3 linked regions of the Mus musculus genome follow. Each later gene encodes a partner of the first gene's protein in a complex. Links are inferred from orthologs where the notes say so. Each region holds a gene or a part of one and is shown in the gene's direction. Other genes may lie near its edges.

The links. The genes of interacting proteins can lie anywhere in the genome.
Region 2: the proteins of Ccna2 (region 1) and Gmnc are in contact, whole or in part, in a cryo-EM structure (PDB 9HIU), measured with the Homo sapiens proteins. The link is inferred for Mus musculus from reciprocal best matches to the Homo sapiens genes CCNA2 and GMNC. Residues at the interface, in NP_001228.2 of Homo sapiens: Met210, Ile213, Leu214, Asp216, Trp217, Glu220, Val221, Glu224, Arg250, Leu253, Gln254, Tyr280, Ile281, Thr282, Asp283, Thr285; in NP_001140158.1 of Homo sapiens: Asn165, Ala166, Lys167, Arg168, Asn169, Leu170, Ser171, Glu173, Phe174, Ala175.
Region 3: the proteins of Ccna2 (region 1) and Cdkn1b are in contact, whole or in part, in a crystal structure (PDB 1JSU), measured with the Homo sapiens proteins. The link is inferred for Mus musculus from reciprocal best matches to the Homo sapiens genes CCNA2 and CDKN1B. Residues at the interface, in NP_001228.2 of Homo sapiens: Met210, Ile213, Leu214, Asp216, Trp217, Glu220, Val221, Glu224, Met246, Arg250, Gly251, Lys252, Leu253, Gln254, Leu255, Tyr280, Ile281, Thr282, Asp283, Thr285, Tyr286, Thr287, Gln290, Arg293, Met294, His296, Leu297, Lys300; in NP_004055.1 of Homo sapiens: Lys25, Pro26, Ser27, Ala28, Cys29, Arg30, Asn31, Leu32, Phe33, Gly34, Val36, His38, Leu41, Thr42, Asp44, Leu45, Glu46, His48, Cys49, Asp51.

What each region holds. Positions count from the first base shown.
Region 1 is NC_000069.6:36,568,733-36,576,261, reverse strand, and holds the start of Ccna2 (cyclin-A2), read left to right. Parts: upstream 1-3,223; 5' UTR 3,224-3,481; intron 3,482-3,958; 5' UTR 3,959-4,438; coding exon 4,439-4,624; intron 4,625-5,282; coding exon 5,283-5,526; intron 5,527-7,172; coding exon 7,173-7,282; intron 7,283-7,450; coding exon 7,451-7,529. Other genes in the region: Bbs7 (Bardet-Biedl syndrome 7 protein homolog), read left to right, coding at 410-519, 614-717, 845-968, 2,640-2,773. UniProt on the Homo sapiens protein: Cyclin which controls both the G1/S and the G2/M transition phases of the cell cycle. Functions through the formation of specific serine/threonine protein kinase holoenzyme complexes with the cyclin-dependent protein kinases CDK1 or CDK2.
Region 2 is NC_000082.6:26,987,596-26,995,155, reverse strand, and holds the start of Gmnc (geminin coiled-coil domain-containing protein 1), read left to right. Parts: upstream 1-3,503; 5' UTR 3,504-3,683; intron 3,684-5,116; 5' UTR 5,117-5,195; coding exon of another isoform or gene 5,196-5,226; coding exon 5,227-5,247; intron 5,248-7,560. UniProt on the Homo sapiens protein: Regulator of DNA replication. Promotes initiation of chromosomal DNA replication by mediating TOPBP1- and CDK2-dependent recruitment of CDC45L onto replication origins.
Region 3 is NC_000072.6:134,916,759-134,924,457, forward strand, and holds the start of Cdkn1b (cyclin-dependent kinase inhibitor 1B), read left to right. Parts: upstream 1-3,642; 5' UTR 3,643-4,161; coding exon 4,162-4,636; intron 4,637-5,197; coding exon 5,198-5,316; 3' UTR 5,317-5,325; intron 5,326-7,484; 3' UTR 7,485-7,699. UniProt on the Homo sapiens protein: Important regulator of cell cycle progression. Inhibits the kinase activity of CDK2 bound to cyclin A, but has little inhibitory activity on CDK2 bound to SPDYA. Involved in G1 arrest. Potent inhibitor of cyclin E- and cyclin A-CDK2 complexes.

The sequences.
Region 1 (7,529 bases):
AATATCAGATGTCTCTCTTTCAGGTTGGATACCAGGTTTATTTTAAAAATAAAGCATACATTAATACAATTTATTTGTGTAATTATATTAAGGAAAAACATATGTGTGTATGTGTGGAAATAAGCCATTCTAAATACATTTTATATATGAGGTTTGCTATTGGCAATATTAATGTCCACGAAGAAAATCAGAATTTCTCATCTTAAGAGGTATGTGTATAATAGGATATGTAGTTCTGAGTTCAGAAGCTGACTTGGTATGGCAAAGGTCAGAATACATGTTTATGCTTTACCTTAATGATATATACAGATCATGTAAAATCAAATGAAATCTAAACACTAGCTAAAAGTACGTATTTATGGGGTCACTTGCTCCTCAACTTTTCTTTAAAAATATATTGATTTTGTAGGAAAGGAGAAGGAGTTTTTAAATCTGACAACATTTCTACAATATCCATCCTAAAAGATGTGCTTTCTAAAGAAGCTACAAAAAGGAAAATTAATCTCAACATATCATACGGTAAAAAAGGAAATTGTTCATTCCAATTTTTGCAGTTTTAATAGCAATGCTTTTCGTGAAAGTGACTTAACTGTGCCTGGCCAACTTCTTGTAGAGATAAACGAGGTGTCTGTCAAGCACACTTTAAAGCTAATTCACCCGAAGCTGGAGTATCAGCTGCTTCTGGCTAAGAAAGTGCAGTTAATCGATGCCCTGAAGGTAAGGCTGTGTCAGTGGGATCATGGACATGGCTGTGAGCTCCGGGCTTTCTAAGTCATACGCACATTGTTACACACCTAAAACCTGACCATTACGGTGCTTCTATTTCCTTTTAATTTTAAATAAGGAATTGCAGGTTCATGAGGGAAATACAGACTTTCTGACTCCAGAGTACCGATGTATTCTAGAAGAGGCAGATCATCTACAAGAGGAATACAAAAAGCAGCCTGCACATCTTGAAAGACTCTATGGTGAGTAGACCAGAAAAGCCTTTCCAGAAAAGCCTGCTGTGCTTCTTTTCAGCAGTTCTTTGGGGTTTTTTATTTGTTTGTCTGTTTTTGTTTTTTGTTTTTTGGGGGGTTTGTTTATTTTGCCAAATAGTTGTGAAAGGAACTAGGCAGAGACTACAGCAGCCACGAGCCTGTGGCAACCAGTTTATTGTACAAAATATGTATTTTTTCCAAGGTGGCCTTACATCTTAACCTTTTTTACTTTAAAATGCAAATAAATGTGAAAGTGGAATTATACCGTGAACATCTATGTGTATAGTGAAGAGGTGTTGCAACCCACACAGCCTGGACATCCACACTGTTTCTCACAGTGATTTTCAGGTTCTGTTGCTACTATAAAAAACTCAGCATTTAATCTATTTAGGCAAAAATTAGTAGGAATATTTATGTGATCTTTAAGTTAACAGCTTAAAATTTGTCTTGCTTTGGTGATAAGTTGGGTATATTACAGATTGCATTGAAAAAAGGAAAAAAGACCAAGGGAAGGGAAGGCAGAGATGGAGGGAGGGAAGACTAAGCAAAAGCTTGGATAGCAGTCCTTCTCTAAGATTTGTTGTGTGCAGCACACTGCACTATCTTTCTTGAGATATTTAACTGTTGCAGCAGCTCTGCAAGGGAGATGATTTTATCTTCATTTTCAATAATCTTTAGATAAAATATGGGAGTAAAGATTGCTCTCACATACCTAGTTAGTGGCAAAGCCTTCATTAAGCCCTTCTCTCCCTGACATGCAGGCCTGGGGCCATCATGACTGGTGTCCTCAGCCCACACTGATCCACTAACCTGCCTACAGAATTTATTATGCACCCAAGACTTTCTCACAGATGAACAGTACTGATATCTGAGTGTTCACTATTCGGCAAGCACAGGGTCTCTTAAAATATCCTTACATGATGGTGTTGCAGATCTACCGTCTCTCATCTGTGATTCCAAAATCTAGGAAGCAGCTTTGAAAACCAAAGTTTACCTTTGTAAATCATTTACCAGCAAATTGTCTTAATCTGATTGACTTCATGATAAAACCTGATTTAAACTGACACGAAGCTTTTTCTATTTTTTTTTTAAATCCCACTGAGTGCAAGTATTCACCTGTTTATTGTAAAAGCATTGCCATTTTGTTAGCAGATATCAGCACTCAGTCTCATTGGACCAATATAAAAAGTATCAATGGTATATTCTTTTTCTCTTCCTAAAATATACTTTTTTTCAAGGGTCTTGTATAAATAATAGACAACTTGAGTTGTCTCTGTGTTACATCTTGAAAACTCAAAGGTGCAGTAATTTCCCAGACCTCTGCACCCAGTAAGCCCATGGGTGAAGTGCTTCAGTTCAGACGTTCTTCCTGATGCAGCAGCAGTCAGTCGCTGGGATGCAGGGTGCACCGACACAGATTCAGAATCGCGACCAGTGGCTTGTCTAGGTCAGCAGTTGCAACCCATTGTTAGAAGGTTATCAAATATTTATGTCTTGAAAGTTGCTTCAAACCTTCTCCACATACACATCTGTTTTTAAAAACACCAACCTCTTCCAGGCTTGTATGTGTTGAATAATGGAGTCTCAGGTGGTGAGAGAATGCCACATGCATTGTTAAAAGAACTAATCAATAACAAGAAATAATATTTTTCTTCGTAGGTATGATTACTGATCTTTTTATAGATAAATTTAAGTTCAAAGGCACTAATGTAAAAACCAAAGTACCCATGCTCCTGGAGATTCTCGACAGCTACGACCAGAACACACTGATTTCTTTCTTCGATGCAGCATGAAAGATAAACAAGGTAGGCCAACAGGACAGCCGAAGAAGCAAGCAGAGCCTGATCAGACCCGAGGCACCTCAGATGGACGTCCCACATGTAATCAGAAGAGTGACGGCCTCTAAGCATCCCCCTACGAGTACCCATGAAAGTCCTTTTTATTGTGTACTTGAGGGGAAAAGAAGATCTTTTAGTCATTCATTTCAGGGGAATATTGCATTGAAAGTTTTAGAATACTATTAAATAAGAGCAAATAAGCTGTCTTTTGTTTTCAAAGGGTAGTTATGAAAACAATGATTACATTTTATTATATTTTATGTATGATTCTTAACTATTAAATGTGAACATTTAAGGTAATATACTTGTGTCTTTATATATTTATTTAGGTTTTGTATATATTTCTCTGTGTGTGTGTGTTTGGGTTGGTTTTTTTTTTTTTTTTTGTGGTTTTTGTTTTGTTTTGTTTTTCGAGACAGGGTTTCTCAAGACAGGATTTCTTTGTGTAGCTGACCTGGAACTAACTCTGCAGTCCAGGCTGGCCTTGCACTCAAGAGATCCACCTGCCTCTGCCTCCTGAGATGCCCGGAAAAGGCTTGGCCATCGCCTCCTGGCTGCCCGGTTTTCTTATGAACACTTTTTTTCTACTTTTGAGACATCATCTCACTACATAGCTGACTTGGACTAACTTGAATTCAGAGATCTGAAACTCTGGGATTAAAGGTATGTACCACAATGCACTTCATTTCTAAATGTAATATCTATTTGGGTCAGTGGAACTTCATGGTCTGATGTCACAACCAAGGATTAGCAAAATTAATGGACAGCTGAATTTCTTGTAGTACACCACTTGTTATCAACAATAGCTCATGTTGGCATTTTAAATTAACCCATCTTTAATTGGGGGTGGGGGTGGGGTAGTTTACTGGAATGCGGGGCATAGAGACACGCCTTTAATCCCAGATCAGTGAGCTCTGATAACGGATATCAGTGAGTCACAGGACAATTGGGACAGCATTATGAGACCCTGCCTCAAAATCAAACAACAAACAAATGATATACAGGAGAGGTGAAACAATAGTAAACAGTAAAAGTTCCAGCGTTTCCCTATGTTGTATGGCAGCATCACAGAGAAAGAGAAAGGAGTAGTGTACCCAGGACGGGGCAGTTTGTCATTCAGATCCATACGCTCCTGCCTAGGCGCCACCCAGCGACCAGGAGAAGGCGCTTCACCCCTTAGCTGAGGCGAAGGCCGACACCTCGAGGCCCCGAGGGCTTGTCTGGACCGCCCAGCGGCTCCGGCAGGATCCTATGAGGCTACAGATCCACTGAGCAGCAGAGATCGGCCGAAAGCGGCCGCCCGCCCCGCCCTCCTCTGCGCAGGCGCGTCCTCAGGCTCCCGCCCTGTAAGATTCCCGTCGGGCCTTCGCTCGCGGCGACCGGCGCTTCTGGTGACGTCACGGACTCCGGACGCCCTCATTGGTTTATTTCAATAGTCGCGGGCTACTTGAACTACAAGACCAGCAGCCGGCGGGCGGCGCGCAGCTCGCGGCTCCTGGGCTCTACGCTCCTCCCGCCTGCAGCCTCTGCTCCGCGGGTCGGCCGCCAGGGTCCCGCGCTGCTCCGGAGCGGCGGGCGCTGTGCACGCTCTGCCGCCGACAGAACCGGACCGGAGCCGCGATGCCGGGCACCTCGAGGCATTCGGGTCGCGATGCGGGCTCAGCCCTGCTCTCGCTGCATCAGGAAGACCAAGAGAATGTCAACCCCGAAAAACTGGCGCCAGCCCAGCAGCCGCGGGCGCAGGCGGTGCTGAAGGCCGGGAACGTGCGTGGACCCGCGCCGCAGCAGAAGCTCAAGACTCGACGGGTAATAGGGCGCGGGGGTCTGGAGGAGGGCCGGGCGGGAGCGGTCCTGGGTTTAGCAGCCCAGAGGGCCGGAAAGCACGCTGAGCATTCCAGGGGGAGTCAGGCTGCAGTCTTCGCGGTCCGGGCGTTTCTAGTACCAAATAGTCCCACGAGCTCTGCCGACCCGTGTAGACCGCCCTTCGGCACTAGTGGCGCCGCGTTCCAAAAAATGCCCGGGGTCATACCAAGCGTTGCCACTCGCGTGTCGACTTCCCCCAGCTGTGTACCTTTCCCTCCACTTTTAAAGCCAGGCATTGCATTAGGATGTAGATCCCTTCCCCCTCACCATCTGCTTCCCAGATTACTACTTCAGGGAAGGACATAAAGCAAGTATTCTTCGTGGTAAATTCCGCCATTTTAGCCAGACTTGCTGTTTTGCTCCACCCTGGGGCTAAAGTTGTGAATCAGTTCTTTGCCCTAACTTTAGTCTTTGATTAGTTTGGAATTCCAGTCCGTTCTATTTATAGCCTTTGTAGAAATGGCTGTGACAGATCGGTTTACACACCTTTACCTGGGCTTTGCCTCATGGACTTATATGTTTCTTAGAGTATTTGGAATTAAAAGCTGATACCCACCGGGCTAGAAGCAAAGTTGTATTGAAAAAGATTCCTCCTCTTTAGGTTGCTCCTCTTAAGGACCTTCCTATAAACGATGAGCATGTCACTGCTGGTCCTTCATGGAAAGCAGTCAGTAAACAGCCTGCCTTCACCATTCATGTGGATGAAGCAGAAGAGACTCAGAAGAGGCCAGCTGAGCTTAAAGAAACAGAGTGTGAAGATGCCCTGGCTTTTAATGCAGCTGTCTCTTTACCCGGAGCAAGAAAACCACTGACACCTCTTGACTATCCAATGGATGGCAGTTTTGGTAAGGTTGCTTTTTATTTTTACCAGTCTCTCTTCCTTCTTTCCCTCCTTTCTGTCTTTTTATTCCCCCTCTGGGTTTCTTGAGTATCCTTGACTGTCCTGAAACTCAATCTGTAGACCAGGCTGACCTTGAACTAAGAGATCCACCTACCTCAGCCTCCCAAGTGCTGGGATTAAAGGCATGTGCCACAACCACCAAGCCTGTGCCTTTTATTTTTGAGACAGGATCTCAACCTGTAGCTTATATCTTGATATTTTGAGTTTTAAGATTATGTCTTACCCGATCATACACAGTGAGTTAAGATTACCGCAATCTCATGACTAGTACTGACCTATGAAAGGACTCAAATCTTTAACCGGCAGGAGGGCACTGCAAACCAACATCAAGTTTAATTAGATCGTAAATATCTATCTTAATCTGACTTTATAAATGTTTGGCTAGGAGAATAGATTTCAGTTTTGTGTCTGACTCACTCCTTAACATGCCAGCCCTAAGAGTGCTCCTTGAGGCTACAGTTTTAAGCATTGTGATATCTACCATTCGTTTAAAACTTGTTTGAATGTTCATCAGCTTGTAGGTCAGACACATGGAAGGCAAAATAGCTGCGGTAGACAGCTCTGCGGTTGCTATGACATCACTGCATGGAGACCAGAGATACTGGTATCTGTCACATTCTACCTTATGCTGTGTGTGTCAGCAGAAGGGGTGTGCTTGCCTGTGCTGGTACAAGTAGAGACTAGTGGAGTACTTGACTTTGGGGTATCTTCAACCACTCTTCCATCTCATTTCTTGATAAAAGGTTTCTTTGGAGCTCAGCGATTTGGCTAGACAGCCTGGCCATCGAGGCACAGGGATATGACTATTTTCAACCCTTTTCCTCTCCCACTCCTGGGGTTACAGATAATGCTTCTGTGTGGTGCTGGGAATGCAAGCCATATCTTCATTCAGGCATATGCAGCAGGCACTGCACTAAGCCATTTCCAGCCGCTTTAGTTTACTTAGTTCTGCTGATGGGGAAGGAGGATATGGAAACAGTTTATTACACAGATTCTCCCATCTCAAGATAACTGAAATGGTAAAAACTAGAGCTGAGTATATTAATGCCTATAAACAGCACTCAGGAGGCTGAGGCAAGATTGCCAGCCTAGGGCAACAGAGTCAGTTTCAGGCCAGTTTAGCCTATAGAATGAGACCCAATTTTAACAAACACCAAGTCCCTTACAGATCAGTGTTTGGACATGATATGACAAACTTGATATCTTTACTAACATTTGTTAATCATGCCATTTACCTGATTCTAATGACTCCCTCATTATGATCTGACTATGGCAACCCATGGGATCTGCAGTCTCTCTTAAGGCAAAAATAATTATTTTAAAACTTTGCTGTTACGTTCTTGTCCTAAAAGAACCATTGTTTCATCTGCTCATCTCTGTGGAGGATGATACTTTAAAGTAATTCTCCGTCTTCTTAGTAGCCTATTGGTGTACATACATGCATACATTTATTTCTGTTTTGGAACTAAGGTTATCCTAGAGCTTTGACAAAAGTCCTAAAACCAGAATTAGATGTTCTATGTTGCTTTGCTATTAGGGTGTTTTTGATTGGAAGAGATAAATACTTTGGTTTTAATCTCACACACACAGAATCACCACATGCTATGGATATGTCTATTGTCTTAGAAGACAAGCCAGTGAACGTTAATGAAGTACCTGACTATCAAGAAGACATTCACACGTACCTTAGGGAAATGGAGGTAAGGCTCTGCTCATTACAAATGGCTAAGTGAAGCAGAGAGGGTAATGCTGACGCCTGCTAACTACTAGCAAGTTACTCTAAACTTAAGATTATGGTGTATGCTTCTTTGTGAATGATGAAGTCACCTGATAATTATGTTAACTCTGATTCCCCCCCCCCCCTTCAGGTTAAATGTAAACCTAAAGTGGGTTACATGAAGAGGCAGCCAGACATCACTAACAGCATGAGGGCCATCCTTGTGGACT
Region 2 (7,560 bases), on another chromosome or scaffold:
TTACTGTCATTCTCCAGTGCAGCCTTACTGAGTGCTGGTAACGAGGTACTCTCTATACAAAATCAGAAAGTCCGAGCTCTGACAATGTCAGATAAGTAGACATTCATCGCTTGAGTCTTCCACATCTGAATGGTTTTATTATTGATTGTATAACTTAGTTCCCTGAAACCAGCCACTTATTGCTAAGATGGCTGAGTTTGAACCAATTTTGTGAGAATCCATTGTGATCATATTGTACATATTACATAGTGGATTATGGAAACACAAGTACACTGGCACTTGTATTTTCAACTATTCTTCCTTCAAGAATTTGTTTTACATGTAAAAGACTTCAGCTATGTTCTTAGTAATTGAAACACAAACCCTATCTCAGACACAATTTCTATTATACTTTAAGATTCAGGTGCTTGTGTTTGTTTGACACTCTGCATCTTTCATTATAACATCCTTAAAGAACTCAGTATATCATGTTCTTATTCTATGGAGATAAATTTCAAACTTTGAAAAGTTAAGCATCTTGATCAAGGTCATGTAGCTAATTAGTATCAGAGTCACAGTTAGGAACTAGACTCAGTCACTCCTCTAATCTGAAGCCCACATGCATGGAGTATTCTCTATCCCTTAGCTAAGTGATATAATTAGAATGAAGTCATGTACATGGGCAATTGTGGGTAGAGTCAAATATACTTTAAATTGTCCAGTGAAAACAGGAGCTGAAATAATTATTGCTTTTTAGTCATGGCAAAAATAATGAACCTGAGTTTTCCTTTCCCTTTTCTTTTTTAATTTTTTTTTTTTACGAATTCACTTTATATCTTACTCAGAGCTCCCCTCTCAGCCACCCCCGCCACACCTTACCCCTATCTCCCTCCCCCTCCTCTGAAAGGTTAGGCCCCCTTGGGTATCCCTCCACTATGGCTCTTCAAGTCTCAGAAAGGCTAGGCTCATCCTCTCCCACTGAGGCCAGAGAATGCAGCTCAGCTAGAAGAACATATCTCACATACAGACAATAGTTTTGGGGATATCCTTTGCTCCAGGTGTTCAGGACCCACCTAAAGACCAAGCTGCCCATCTACTACATATGTGCGGGAAAGCCTAGGCCTTCCTGTGGAGTCCTATCCCTCCGGGCCTGCATCCTTCCTCCTATTCATCCATAACAGTTTCCAAGCTCCATCCACTGTTTGGCTATGGGTGTCTGCATCTGTCTGATTTAGCTACGGAGTGGAACCTCTCAGAGAACAACATGCTTCTGTAGAAGATTCAGGACTATAATCTCAGAACTCATGAGGATGGGTAAGGAAATTATGGGTATATAGCCAGAAGAACCTGTCTCACACCAAAGCAAGACAGAGAGAGAGAGAGAAAGAGAGACAGACAGACAGACAGACACAGACACAGACACCACAGACACAGACACAGACACAGACACAGACACAGACACCACAGACACAGACACAGACACAGACACAGACACAGACACAGACACAGACACCACAGACACAGACACAGACACAGACACAGACACAGACACAGACACAGACAGAGACACAGGCACAGGCACAGGCACAGACACAGACACAGACACAGACACAGACACAGACACAGACACCACAGACACAGACACAGACACAGACACAGACACAGACACAGACACAGACACAGACACAGACACAGACACAGACACAGACACAGACACCACAGACACAGACACAGACACAGACACAGACACAGACAGAGACACAGGCACAGGCACAGGCACAGACACAGACACAGACACAGACACAGACACAGACACAGACACAGACACAGGCACAGGCACAGGCACAGGCACAGGCACAGGCACAGGCACAGGCACAGGCACAGGCACAGGCACAGGCACAGGCACAGGCACAGGCACAGGCACAGGCACAGGCACAGACACACAGAGACAGAAGAGAGAGAGACAGGGAGAAACTTAGTCTTAGAAAGTTGTAAACTTTAGATAAAAATGAGCCTATTGATAAAAACAATAAGTCCATTGTGGCCCATATTACGTGGAAACCTTTATAGTACAACAAACAATGTAGTGAAATGTTTAAATGTTTGTGCTTAAATCATAAATACTAGGAACTAGTTACTGGCTTGGTCCTTACAGGCACATACTACTCTTGTAAAGGACCAGAGTTCTGTTCCCAGCACCAGCATCCAGCTGTCCAGCAAGCTCACAACCACTGTAACTCCAAATCCAGGGGCATTTGATGCCTCTGGCCTCCTTGGCGCCTGCACCACAGGCACAAATCCATTGAGACACACACACACAGACACACAGACACACACACACACAGACACACAGACATACATGTTCACACATACAAATAGCAAAAGAAAATATAATGAGACAAGTCTGTTGCATATACGGAGACATAGTTATGAGAAAATATCCTATTTCATATGACTTGCTGTTGATCACTGAGTATGAATAAACACTATTTTATCTGATATATTTGTAAAAGTCACAGAATTCTTCAATTCTACAGTACTCTCTGTTTAGTTTTTAATTTTTTCATTTCTATAAAGTGCACTCAGTTGTTTTTTTTTTTTTAATCTAATAACCCACAAGCAATGTGATAACTCTTCTTCCAATTCTGTATACACCTGTGTTTTCCTTGAGGTAATTTGCACACAGAGGCCACACTTGCTGCTCTTATACACACTTTCTTGCAGCCCATTCCCCAAGGATTCTCTTATTCCTCTACTGTGGATCACATCAATAAAGAACGACATCTGTGCAGCTGATCATGGTGAGCCATTTCAGGTAGACCATGTGTTCTACCTTGACCTAACTTCTCATTTCTGTTCTCACCACTATGGCCAATTAATGCGAGACCTTTTAAGCAGCCAGTTGACTGGTCTGGTCGTGTGCCGGCTATCACCACAAGAGCTTAAGGGCCACAAATCTCTGTTATTACCAAGCTGTTGCTGCCAGAAGCACGCTGACTCCTGACAAAAAGAATAGATTAGGATCAGTCAAATCTCCCCCAGGCTTATCAGTGGGACTTTTAACCGCACCTTCTACCTCAAAGTTTCCCCTTCTCCTGCTTCCAAACACCTACGCAGCAGCAAGCTAACAAGGTGCCTGCCAAACCATATGTTCATAATTAGTTAACTTCTTTCCTGTCGCTAGAGGCACCACTCAGTCAGCAACAGCCGTCAAGGGTGTTGGGCATCCAATAAGACACAACCAGGCTGTACAGCCGCTCAGCCCAGCAGTAAAAGAGGCATACTTAATTCCAGCTGTGGCATTGTTAAGTGAATTAACTCTATCCTCAATTTAAAAAGCCAGCATGAAATCAAAGGGGACCTTGGAAAAGGAAAAAAAAAAATAGAGAGAAAATGAAAAAAAAAATGCTTGTAGGTTAACTCAAGAGTCCGGTGTGGTGAATGAAACTCAACTGGTTGGCCCATTCAGCCAATCATTGCAAGGCAGGTTTTTGGCATCAGTATTGCTCCTGGCACAAGTCTTCCTTTTATTTCCCAGTTCTGTGGTTAAGGTCTCCTGTTACAGACGGAGGGGACTGATGATATAATTGTTTATGAGCCAGCAGAACACATTTATAGGTAGTAGTGAGGTTTCCAGAGAGTAATGAGACGTTAAATGTTAGAGACAGTGGTGCACGATTCTGGCTAAGAAATTTCATCTCAAGGTAAGAGTGCTACATATAAACTTACATGTATGAATTTGCAGGTCTGGGCAATCTCTCTGGGAAATAGTTGTCACACAATGTGTGGGGGAGAAATGAGAACTTTCTGGAATTGTTTTAGTTGTTATTGACTGCACACAAAAAAAGCCCCTAATATTTTGAAAATGTATATATGGCTTTAAATGTGCCTATTCAATATAAATGGAAAGTTGATGAATACTTTTAGCAAATGTACATTCACATATGCATGCTGTGCCAAGCTTATCAATACAGCTTTTATTGAAGAAATAACACTAATAATAACAGCATCGAATAATATTGAATTTTGCTACCAGAATTTGGTAGCATTATTTTTTTAAAAACCTAGTATGACTATGTGGAATACATTTCTCAACTTTAAAAAAGGGTATATTTCCTGTAATTTAAATGTTACAATATTTTATTTTGAGTTTATATTCATGAATATATTATAGCAGTTAGAAAGAATAATCTTCATTGATGACATATATGGGACCAGGAATGTGGATATAAACACACGAGAAAGCAGAAGCAGTAGTTAAAATATAAAACTTAAGAATCCAGAAAATTAAATATAGATAGGAAACTGGCTACTTAAATAATGCTAATTTTAAGACTTGTGATTTTGTTGCTATTATTGTAAATCCTTTCATGAAGCAATCTGAGAATAGTCTACTGCCCCTTACAACTTAAGCCTCAGCTTGCGATCCAGTTTCATTGTCGATTACATAATCTCCACTATCATATTAAATAACCATTGAGGGTGGCAAGGGACTTGGGGCTTCTGAGTAACAGACATAATGATATGTGGCTTGAAGTGAATTAAGAAACAACTGATATGGTGTATAACCAGGGAATTAAAAGACATAAGTCAATGGGAAATTGCAGAAACCACAGATCGGTACAAGTTACAGGCAATTTTCTTAATAACCCTTTAGGATAATATTAGACAAGCTGCACAAAACCTCTTCACTACCCCCTGTGGGGCAAACTGGTTAACAATCAGAGCCAAAGGTTTGTTTTTAAACACAATTTGCCATCATAGAAAAAAATATTTTATTAGTGTCGCTAAGCAAGAAATAATTCTTTTTAAACCAAAAATAAAAGTATAAATTAATAAACTTACTTTTCCAGTTTAATCTTTCCTACATTCTTATTTGGGTGTGTTTTAATAAAAGAAAATTTAATTGACCCAAACTATAATCTTGTTTCAATAGCAAAAGACTTATTTGCGAGGTCATAGTGGGAGGTCTTTACAATTCACTTTCAGTGTGATTAATGTACAGTGAGATTTCACTTATTGTGAATATTATAACCAGGAACATAAGGAGGTGCAGATTAGACATGGGAAATTACATTGATTAGACACGGGGGACTGATTTTGAGAGCTCTTAAAATCTTTTAGCGTTTTTTTGCAGTAAGAAAAAGTGACTCGCTGAAGAAGGCGTTCGTGTGAGCTCACAGATGAGCATGATGCTTGACAAAAACTGAGCAGTGATGAGAATCACGGACTGGGCAACAAGAGGCTATGGAAGATGCTGTGTTCCAGGTTAGTGATGGGCTCCTGGCCAACGTGGTGCCAGTAAAACCGGTTAGAAAGAGGCAGAAACAAGAAATGCTAAGGACTGACTCAGAGGCTCTTTCTGGCAGAAGAGGGAGAGAGATGTTAATAATGCCAAACCAGCATGTGTTAATAAAATGTGAGTGTCAGAAAAAGCGTGAACACGAGTATATTAGAAGCCGGTTGTTGGTACACAGAATATGCGGAGTTTGCTGTCTGTCTAATTAGAATGGATCAGTGAGAATGCACAGCGAAGCAGAGGATAGGCAGGACCAGATGCCTGATGCTCAAGTGGAGCAGCTCTCCATTGGGATCCATTGTTGCAAAGAGAGTGGTGCATCCAAGGCAGTGTGTCTGGGTCCTAAAGTTTAGCGCCCTGTGTGAGGGAACAGCAGAGCCTACGTAGGTCAAGCCTACGATCAGGGATATTTGGAAAACGTTCTGAAAGCGGCTCTACAAGTCAATTCTGCACAGCCAGAAAAGGTAACAAAATTTTGTGAAGTTTAGAGAGCAAGCTTGAAGGAAACGGCTAGAAGTCAGAGAGTACTGGTATCCTTCAAATTCTTCTCTAAACCATGGGTGGTAAGGATGGAGTGACATCACACAGACAAAGGCAATGTTTTCCCGATGTTGGAACTTTGCAGCTATCATTACAGGGCAGCTTGAACAATGTGTCTTCCTTTCTAAGGTAATTCTATCTTTTTTTTTATAATTTATGTTTTATTCACTTTACATCCCCATCACAGCTCCACCACACACACACTCCTCTCCTCCCAGTCCTACCCTTACAACCCCCCCCCCATCGTCCCCTCCCTTTCTCCTTAGAGGAGGGGTCTGACCCCTTGGGTACCATCCCACCCTGCGATATCTAACACAGTTCTCAATCAGATTTCACCTGAGTGTTGCTTTAGCTTCATCACACACCTCATACGTGAAGTTTCTCTCTTTACCATTAATGTCAATGAAATAAGATCAGTGAGGTTTTGTAAGTAGAATTAAACACTCATTAATGAGAACACAAGAGCACAGTGTATCATTATTATTTTCAAGTAGGTTTTCACATTTTTTTGTGCACGTATGACCATGTGTGAGTGTGAGCAATGCATATGTGTGTCCGTGGAGGCCAAAGGAGAGTTTTAGGTCCCTTAAAACTGGAGCCATGAGGATTTGTGAGGGGCTTAGCAGGAATGCTGGGCACTGAACATACGTGCTCTGAAAGCACAGGGAGTGCTTGCAATAGCTGAGCTATCTCTCTAACTCCATAATTAACACTTTAAATATCAATATTTCTAAAATATTAACAAGAAAATGTTCAAAGTTATATGCATTCATAAATTCAAAGTGCTTATACATTTTTATTAGAGTAACTGTAATTTCATACTTATCTCAGTATCTCAGACAGTTTAACATTCTTTCTTCTCATACCAGATTATTACATGAATGTCTATTGAATAGATATATTAAAAACTAATTAAAGACATTTTCTGATGAGCTCAGCATTTTTCAGTTCTTCATTACAATGACTCCTATTCTGTCACCAATCTTTTCTTTCTTTTCCTTTCAACATTTTTCTCCTAGCTTTGTAGATTAAATAATAAGGTAAAATTTCAATTTTTGTTTTCCAGGGTTTTTTGAGGATTTTGTTTGTCAGGAAGCGAAAATGATTTCATGTTAGGCAAATGCTGTATCACCAAGCAACAGCCCCAGTTCTTCTCAGTATTTTAAATCTATAAAGCACTTTTAATATATTTATTCCTAACAAATTTTGATGAAAAATCCATCTTTTTCTATAGTTCTAAATATTTTATAATGTCCATTGTAACTTTTCTTTTTCAATGAATTTATTTTAGACATTTAATCATGGAGTTTGAATGTGTTTTAATTCATAATATTGATTTCTAAAGTTGTTAAAAATCCATTAATTTAAGCCGGGCAGTGGTGGCGCAGGCCTTTAATCCCAGCACTTGGGAGGCAGAGACAGGTGGATTTCTGAGTTTGAGGCCAGCCTGGTCTACAGAGTGAGTTCCAGGGCAGCCAGGGCTACACAGAGAAACCCTGTCTCACAAAACAAACAAACAAACAAAAATCCAGGAATTTACTATAGATTAAATATTAATCTTTGAATCCAGTAAAGCATTAAAGTAAAGACAAGATCTTATTGGACTTTATACCAATGATGAGGTGATGTGATCAATGGTATCATTCAAGAAAATAGAGTATTTGAAGAATGTACAAATTGACCATTTGACCAAAATGACATTAACAAGGAAATCTAATGGTTGAACATCCTGTTGATAGGGT
Region 3 (7,699 bases), on another chromosome or scaffold:
GGCTGCTGGGAGCCACTTGCCTGCCACCCCGTTGGGACACTTATCTTCCACGCAGGTGTTCTTAATTGTTTTGGTCTTCGATTCTATCGCTAAACTCAAAGTCTCAGCACTCGGGGGAAGGGGTGGAGGTGGAGGGTGTTGCATGAGTGACACTTCTCAGAGCTATGTAAGAAAGCACCCGGAGTGGAAAAGATGACCAAACTTTACAAAGGACTAGGGGGTCTTGGAAAAGCAAACTTTGATGAAGGGCAGTGTGTTGTGGGACTTTATTCTTCTGCCCGTGAGAAAATTTTCTCCCTGGTTTCCTTTTCCGCAAGTCCTTAAACTTTCTACAAGGGACTGTGCTCTGATCTCCGCCTCCTTCTTCACAACTCCATAGTATTTTTTTTTTCTTTTTCTTTTTCCTTTTTTTACGCATCGCTGCTACTACAGTAGGCGCCTGCCTTCTTGGTATTTGCCTTCCGATCTTGGGTGCCTTGATTGTAAACAAAACACTTTAGATCCGTAGTGAGGTCGGCTAAGCTCAGCCTTTCTGCTGGCAGCCAGACTTCTTAAGGTGGAGCGGCCAGGACTGCTATACATGTGGGATTAACAGATCAACAAAATGGTGCTCCTGCACAAGGCTGAGAGACTCCGGCGGTGCAGGGACAGAAGTGTTAACTTTCTGCTTTCATACAGACATTATCGTGATGAATAAAAAAAACCTTCTGAAGTGGATTGTAATTTCTCTATTTTTACATAAGAGCTATAGTTCACACAGAAAGAGGCAGAGGAGCTCCTTGCTGCCTAGTGATTGTCTTTTAGTTTAATATTTGAGACACGGTCTTACATAGCTCAGGATGGCTGTGAACTCTCTGTGTAGTTGAGAAGGACTTTGAATTCCTTTACCTCTACAGTGATGACATCTCTAGCAATTTAAAATGTTTATGGTGCTGGTGTCAAGGCTGGGCATATACCGGAGACATAAGGCTCACCCCATTTTACTGTGTTTTCTTCCCAAGTTCAGTAAACTAAGTAGGTATGTTAGATATGGGGGGAGGGGCAACAGCTGGGAGACTGGTGAGTGGGTTCAATGGGTCAGACACCTGCCATACAAGTCGGACAACCTGAGTTCAGCCTGCAGGACCCATGTAAGGTGTGTGTGGGGGACCTGATTCAACGTAGTCTCCTGACCTGAGCACACATGCATGCCATGACGAGTTTGTCCACATATGTGCATGTCATGCACAACATTGCAATAATATTTTTTCAATTATAGCGTGTGTATATATGTATGTAGGTAGGTAGGTCAGAGGTCATAGTACACCTACCAAGAGGAGTCAACTCGCTCTCTATCATATGGATTCCGAAAACTGACCTCAGCATGTCAGGCATTTTGGCAGGCACCTTTACCTGCTGAGCCATCTCTTAGCCCAAATCTACAAAAACCAAGACAACCTGAACACAGTGGGGTGGACCCATAGTCCCAGTGACTGAATTTTGTTTTCAGATACAGAATCTCCTGTAACACAGTCTGGCCACCAACTCAGCTATGCAGTCAAGAATGACAAATTCCTGATCCTCTTGTCTTGCTGAGCATCCTAGCTACTGAAGCTGAGGCAGAGCCCAGGAGTTCAAGGCCAGCCTGACCAACACAGTGCAAAACCACAGCAAACAAAGCACCCCAGAAGAGGCAACTCCCCACCTTGGTCCCAACTGAACAGTGCAGAAGGCCTGGATTTGAAGTCCACGCCTGGATGCTGCCTTCTTTCCTACTCAATGAGCCCCACCCATCTTTTTGGAATCTGTATTTCAGCTGAACTAGTAGATAGTGATACCAAAGGCTTGTGACAGCTGCACTTGATGATCAAGGAGACATCTGTGGGCATCCAAGGCCTGGAAAGAGACCTTTTGGATCCTTGTAAGAGAGTAGAGTCTGCAGACTGCAACCCATCCAAATCCAGACAAAATCAGGAACACTGAGACCACCAGAAGAAAACAGACAAAACCCAAACCAGCCGAGAATGAGGAGACTCTGCCACCAACTGAATAGAAGTCCCCAGACAGGAAACCTGAGTATCAATTTCCTCATTGGTAAAAAGAGGCTAAACCTATCTAAGAACTTTCTGGACTGTTACATTTTGAATGCAGGAGGCAAGGCACACACACACACACACACACACACACACACACACACACACACACGTGCACGTGCGCGCGCGCGCGCGCACACACACACACACACACACACACACACATCCTGGCAAAGATGTGGCTAAGAAAACAAGTCAATATTCAGTCTCACCTACACCAGAGGAAGATAGGAAAACCATGCTTCTTTGGGACACTAAACCAGAAATTTAATTTCCTGTAACATGTTTTGTGTTTAGCGCAAACCAAGACTGTTTGGGAATACTAGTGGGCAAAGCCCTTAAAATCTCACTGAACTCTGAGATACGACAGGCCTGGCTATTCTGTTTTAACTTCTGTCACTGTGCTCAGCAGTGATAGAGAAATGTGAAGTTGCCCAAGGAGCTGAAAAAAACCCACCCAACATTACTAGATGTTGGTAATACCGTGGTGGTGGTATTATAAATCACTTGCAAATCTAGTCTTAGATCCTTAGGAAAGTGTTTTCGCCCTTTAACAACCTGCAGCTCTCTAAAAGTATTTGCTTGTATTTGAATATTGTACTGAGTAGGTTGGAAGCAACAGGCTGGTGGGAGAAAAAAGAGAAGGAAGGCACTGTTGTAGTTGGCGTCTGGACTCAGGTGGAGGGAACGGCTTCGCCCGGGAAAGAACATAAGGGTATAAAGGCGAGTTCCCACACGCTATAGCAATGGCTTTCACTGTGCTTAGGAACCAAGAAAATCAGAACTGGCTTTTTCTGATTTCTGTCTGGGACGGCTCTAAAGAGAGGCTTGGGAGAGCACTGGGGGTTTTCAATCTCGAGATCCTACGGTGGAAGCGCTTGGATTCAGAAACACCCTGATAAGAGCGGTCAGTCCTGGCTTCTTTTTGAAACCACCTCCTGGCCTGTCCTACATAGCAGAGACTTCTGGGGTCAGGCTAAGCGGCCGATTCCGCACCCCAGCTAAGGCACCCTGCCGGGTGGGGGTGGGTGGGCTGCCCCAGGCCCTGAGCCAAGGTTTCCTGAATCTCTCGCATACCCTCCTCCATTCCCACCTCGGCGAATGCAGGTGGGCTGAACTAGCCACCGAAGCTCCTAATAAGCCGCCAGCGACCTAGGAGCCCACTGGTCCAGGCCCTAGGTTTCGCGGGCAAAGACCTGGAGGTCGCAGTCGGGAGCGGTGACGCGCCTGCCAGCGCAGCTCTGCAGCGCCGGGACCTAGATCCCCGGGTCCCTGCCTGGCCGCCGCGCTGGCCCCTCCCCAGCTCTCCGGCCGTTTGGCTAGTTTGTTTGTCTTATTTTTAATTTCTCCGGGGCCAGCCAGAGCAGGTTTGTTGGCAGTCGTACACCTCCGAGTAGTCACGCGACCAGCCAATGTCCTGGCGGCGCTACGGGGAGGCGGCGCGCTCGGGAGCGCGGAGAGGCGGCGGCGCCGCGCCCGGGGCCACCTTAAGAGCGCGCTCGCCAGCCTGGGCGGAGCGGCTCCCGGCGCCGAGACCAATGGAGCTCCTCCTCTGTTTAAATAGACTTGCAGTGTCAATCATCTTCTTCTTCGTCAGCCTCCCTTCCACCGCCATATTGGGCAACTAAAAAAGGAGGGGGGCTCGTGCTTTTGGGGTGTTTTCCCCCCTCATCCCTTGTCCCGACTCACTCGCGGCTCCGAGACTCGCGCGGCGGCAAGGTTTGGAGAGGGGCTGCGTTCGCGGGACACACGGGCTCGCCCCAGCCTACGCTCCGACTGTTTGCCACCTCCTCCTGCCTCCTCCCCTCCCTTCCCCGCCCTCCAGTACACTTGATCACTGAAGCCTCGAGCTGCGCGGCGGCTGGGGTGTCCCTGCGCCTCTCTTCCCCAGACCTGCGCGCTACTGCGGCTCGGGCGGTCGCTCGCCTGGCTCTGCTCCATTTGACTGTCTGTGTGCAGTCGCAGAACTTCGAAGAGGGTTTTGCGCTCCATCCGTGGCGTTTCGCTTTTGTTCGGTTTTGTTGTTTATTTCATTTTTTTTTTTCCGGAGAGAGGCGAGGCGGTGGTCCACACCCGCCCGAGGAGGAAGATGTCAAACGTGAGAGTGTCTAACGGGAGCCCGAGCCTGGAGCGGATGGACGCCAGACAAGCGGAGCACCCCAAGCCTTCCGCCTGCAGAAATCTCTTCGGCCCGGTCAATCATGAAGAACTAACCCGGGACTTGGAGAAGCACTGCCGGGATATGGAAGAAGCGAGTCAGCGCAAGTGGAATTTCGACTTTCAGAATCATAAGCCCCTGGAGGGCAGATACGAGTGGCAGGAGGTGGAGAGGGGCAGCTTGCCCGAGTTCTACTACAGGCCCCCGCGCCCCCCCAAGAGCGCCTGCAAGGTGCTGGCGCAGGAGAGCCAGGATGTCAGCGGGAGCCGCCAGGCGGTGCCTTTAATTGGGTCTCAGGCAAACTCTGAGGACCGGCATTTGGTGGACCAAATGCCTGACTCGTCAGACAATCCGGCTGGGTTAGCGGAGCAGTGTCCAGGGATGAGGAAGCGACCTGCTGCAGAAGGTAGTGACTCTTTGGAAAACTTAAAATGTCTGTCTGTCTGTCTGTCTCCGTAAGCGCCCCTTTACTAGACCCTGTTCACTTGCTTTCTCCAGCGTGTTCTGCTTTAGCTCTGGGAAATCGAACTTGTTTGAAGCTTAGGTTTGACATACCCCCTATCCGACTGCTTGCCCTGTTTATGATTTTGAAGTCAGAAGCCGGAGATAGTAAGATGTGATAACTTCCGTAGCCGAACGCATCACAGTTCCTCCCCTCTAGCCAGCTGTAGATACGTGACAAAAGTTCGGATGTTTACCAACTGCCTCCTCCTTGGCTGGGGTGGGGGGGTGGGGGTGGGGATGGGGGTGGGGAAGAGACGTGGGGTGTAGAATACTCCTTGTGTTAGTGGGAACAACCTTATTTTGTGTCCTTAGATGCTACCGGGGATGACGGGTCCAGGGGTCGTGGGTGGAGGTAGTGAGTGGGTTGTTCATCCCTTGGGCCTACTTCTGTCAGCCATTGTTGTCGATAATAAAGATGGTTTGTGTGTGTTCTCTTAAAAATTTCCCCTTGCCCCCCTCTTAGATTCTTCTTCGCAAAACAAAAGGGCCAACAGAACAGAAGAAAATGTTTCAGACGGTTCCCCGAACGCTGGCACTGTGGAGCAGACGCCCAAGAAGCCCGGCCTTCGACGCCAGACGTAAACAGCTCCGGTGGGTTAATGAGGAAGAACACAAAACTGACACCCCATCTGGGCTGCGCTCCCCGGGGGGCCTGCAGACCCCAGGACTGCTGGCAGATTAGTTGCCTGCCAGGAGGAATTACTTTCCTTGATCAAAAAAATTAACACTGGGGAAGGCTGGAATCACTTGAGGGGACTATAATGCAGTATTTGCACCCCAAGATATTTACCTTAAAGTGGAATCAGAATGAGGTTCCCAAGCAAGAACTTGCCACCAAGGCCCCAAAGGATAGGGACGGTCGTATCCTTATGAATCCCACTAAAACTTAGGCTGGGAATGACAGTTTTCCTTTCCAGTCTCAGTTCATGAGAACCCATTTCCCAGAGGTTCGTTTTGAGCCAATAGCCTATTTTGAACCATTTGAACTGTAGAAAAATGGCAAATATATACTTACATGTATGTTCTTAAGAGAAAAACTAGGTACCCATAGTGCACGTTTGATTAGGAGTGTGAATAGAGCTGCCGTGGCTCGAGTTCTTTTTATCTTTTGCTTTTGTTTTGGTTTTTGGTTTTTTGAGATAGGGTTTCTCTGTGTAACAAACAGCTCGGGCTATTCTGGGAATTGCTCTGTAGACCACGCTGGCTTCGAACTCACAGAGATCTGTATTGTCTCTGCCTCCTGAGTGCTGAGATTAGAGGTTGTGTGCCATCACCTCTGGGTACTTTTTTATTTTTTTTTAAAGTTGTGCCTTGTATGCTGGTAAATTTTGGAGAGAAAGGAACTTCATACTTAAAAAAAAAATTAGACTGGAAAGTTCAGAAGTACTAATGCTCCCACAGAATTGATTTTAACCCTGAGGTTACAAAGCAGAAGTTAAATGAACAGCTAGAGGAAGCAGCCTTCCCACACGTCAGCACCGTATGCTAATTTGCTGGAACAGGACGGTTTGGATGTTTATAGGGGAAATGGATAGTAGATGTTAGGACCAACTGAGAAGGTCCAACACAAGTGTGGATTTTTCCATGTGTCAAAAATCTCATCACCCCACTTGCCTAATTAGAGTAACCCAGCCCCTAAATTTACATAGATTGACTATTCATATGCTCTAACTACTTATAATAGTTTATAAGCTCCTTATGAAGAAAACCAGCATTCTCTATTTCTAAAGCCCACTTATAACCCAGCATACAAATAGATCTTAACAGTTTATTATTAACTTTTCAGGTCCTCATTTATTGAAATTTAAAAATAAATGAAGGAATATAGAGATGGCACAGGGTTCCAGCTTGTTGTGTTTATAAATCATAAAGTCATGATATACCTTCTACAGACATAGCATTTTTTCAGAGATGGAAAATGGCCATTAGAGTCACTTTCCATATTATACCCTCTATAAAGTTGTCGAATTGGATGGGAGTTCTTTCTAACTAGCCATCACACCTGTAGCTTTAGTTGCTTTGTGTGGCTTCTGGCCTAGCTTTTCAGATGAGCCGCCTGGATTTTTACCTGGCCTGTTCTGATAAAGAGGCATTTATTAGCCAAGCAACCATAAGACTCTAGTCAAAAGCACTCGTGCAGATATGCTGCATATGAGTAAGAAATTGCAATTTTGTAAACATTCCTCGACTTGGTGGGGAGGAATAATTTTATAATTGCATTTCCAGGTATTTTTCAAGATTACGAAAATATGCTACTCTGATGTGTTATGGTTCCTGAATTTCTTTTCTTTCTCACCCTCTTTGACCCAGATTTTATAGAGCGAGTTTCTCAACCTCTGCACAGTTGACATTTTGAGCCAAATTATTCTTTGTTGTGGTAGGCAGTCCTGTGCATTTTAGAATGTTTGGCATTATCTCTGGCCTCCCCCACAAGATGCCAGTAGCAATCTTCTTCCCGAAGCTGTGACAATCAGAAATGTCTCTTAGACATTTCCAAATGTCCCCTGGGGCATGGGAGGGTTTCACAAAATTGCCCACTTGTTAAGGACCCTGACTCTAATACCACACAAAACAGAACAAAAATCCAGCAAAGATAGGATCGGAGATACCTGTAGTCTTCAGACCTTTAGTGCCTGTATTTATCCATCATTACTGAAGTATTTGTTAACTAAGCTAGCAACAAAATAATTTCTGTACTTTGGCAATGTTACTCTAGTGTCTTCTCCCTAATTCTTTTGTTTCTTTTGCAGAATTAAGAATATTTCCTTGTTTATTAGATACATCACTGCTTTATGAAGCAAGGAAGATATACATGAAAAAATTTAAATACATATCGCTGACTCCATTGAATGGACATCCTGTATAAGCACTGAGAAAGCAAAAACAATAACACTAAAATTTTAGGCACTCTTAAACCATCTGCCTCTAAAAGCATTGGATGTAGCATTGCGCAATTAGGTTGTTC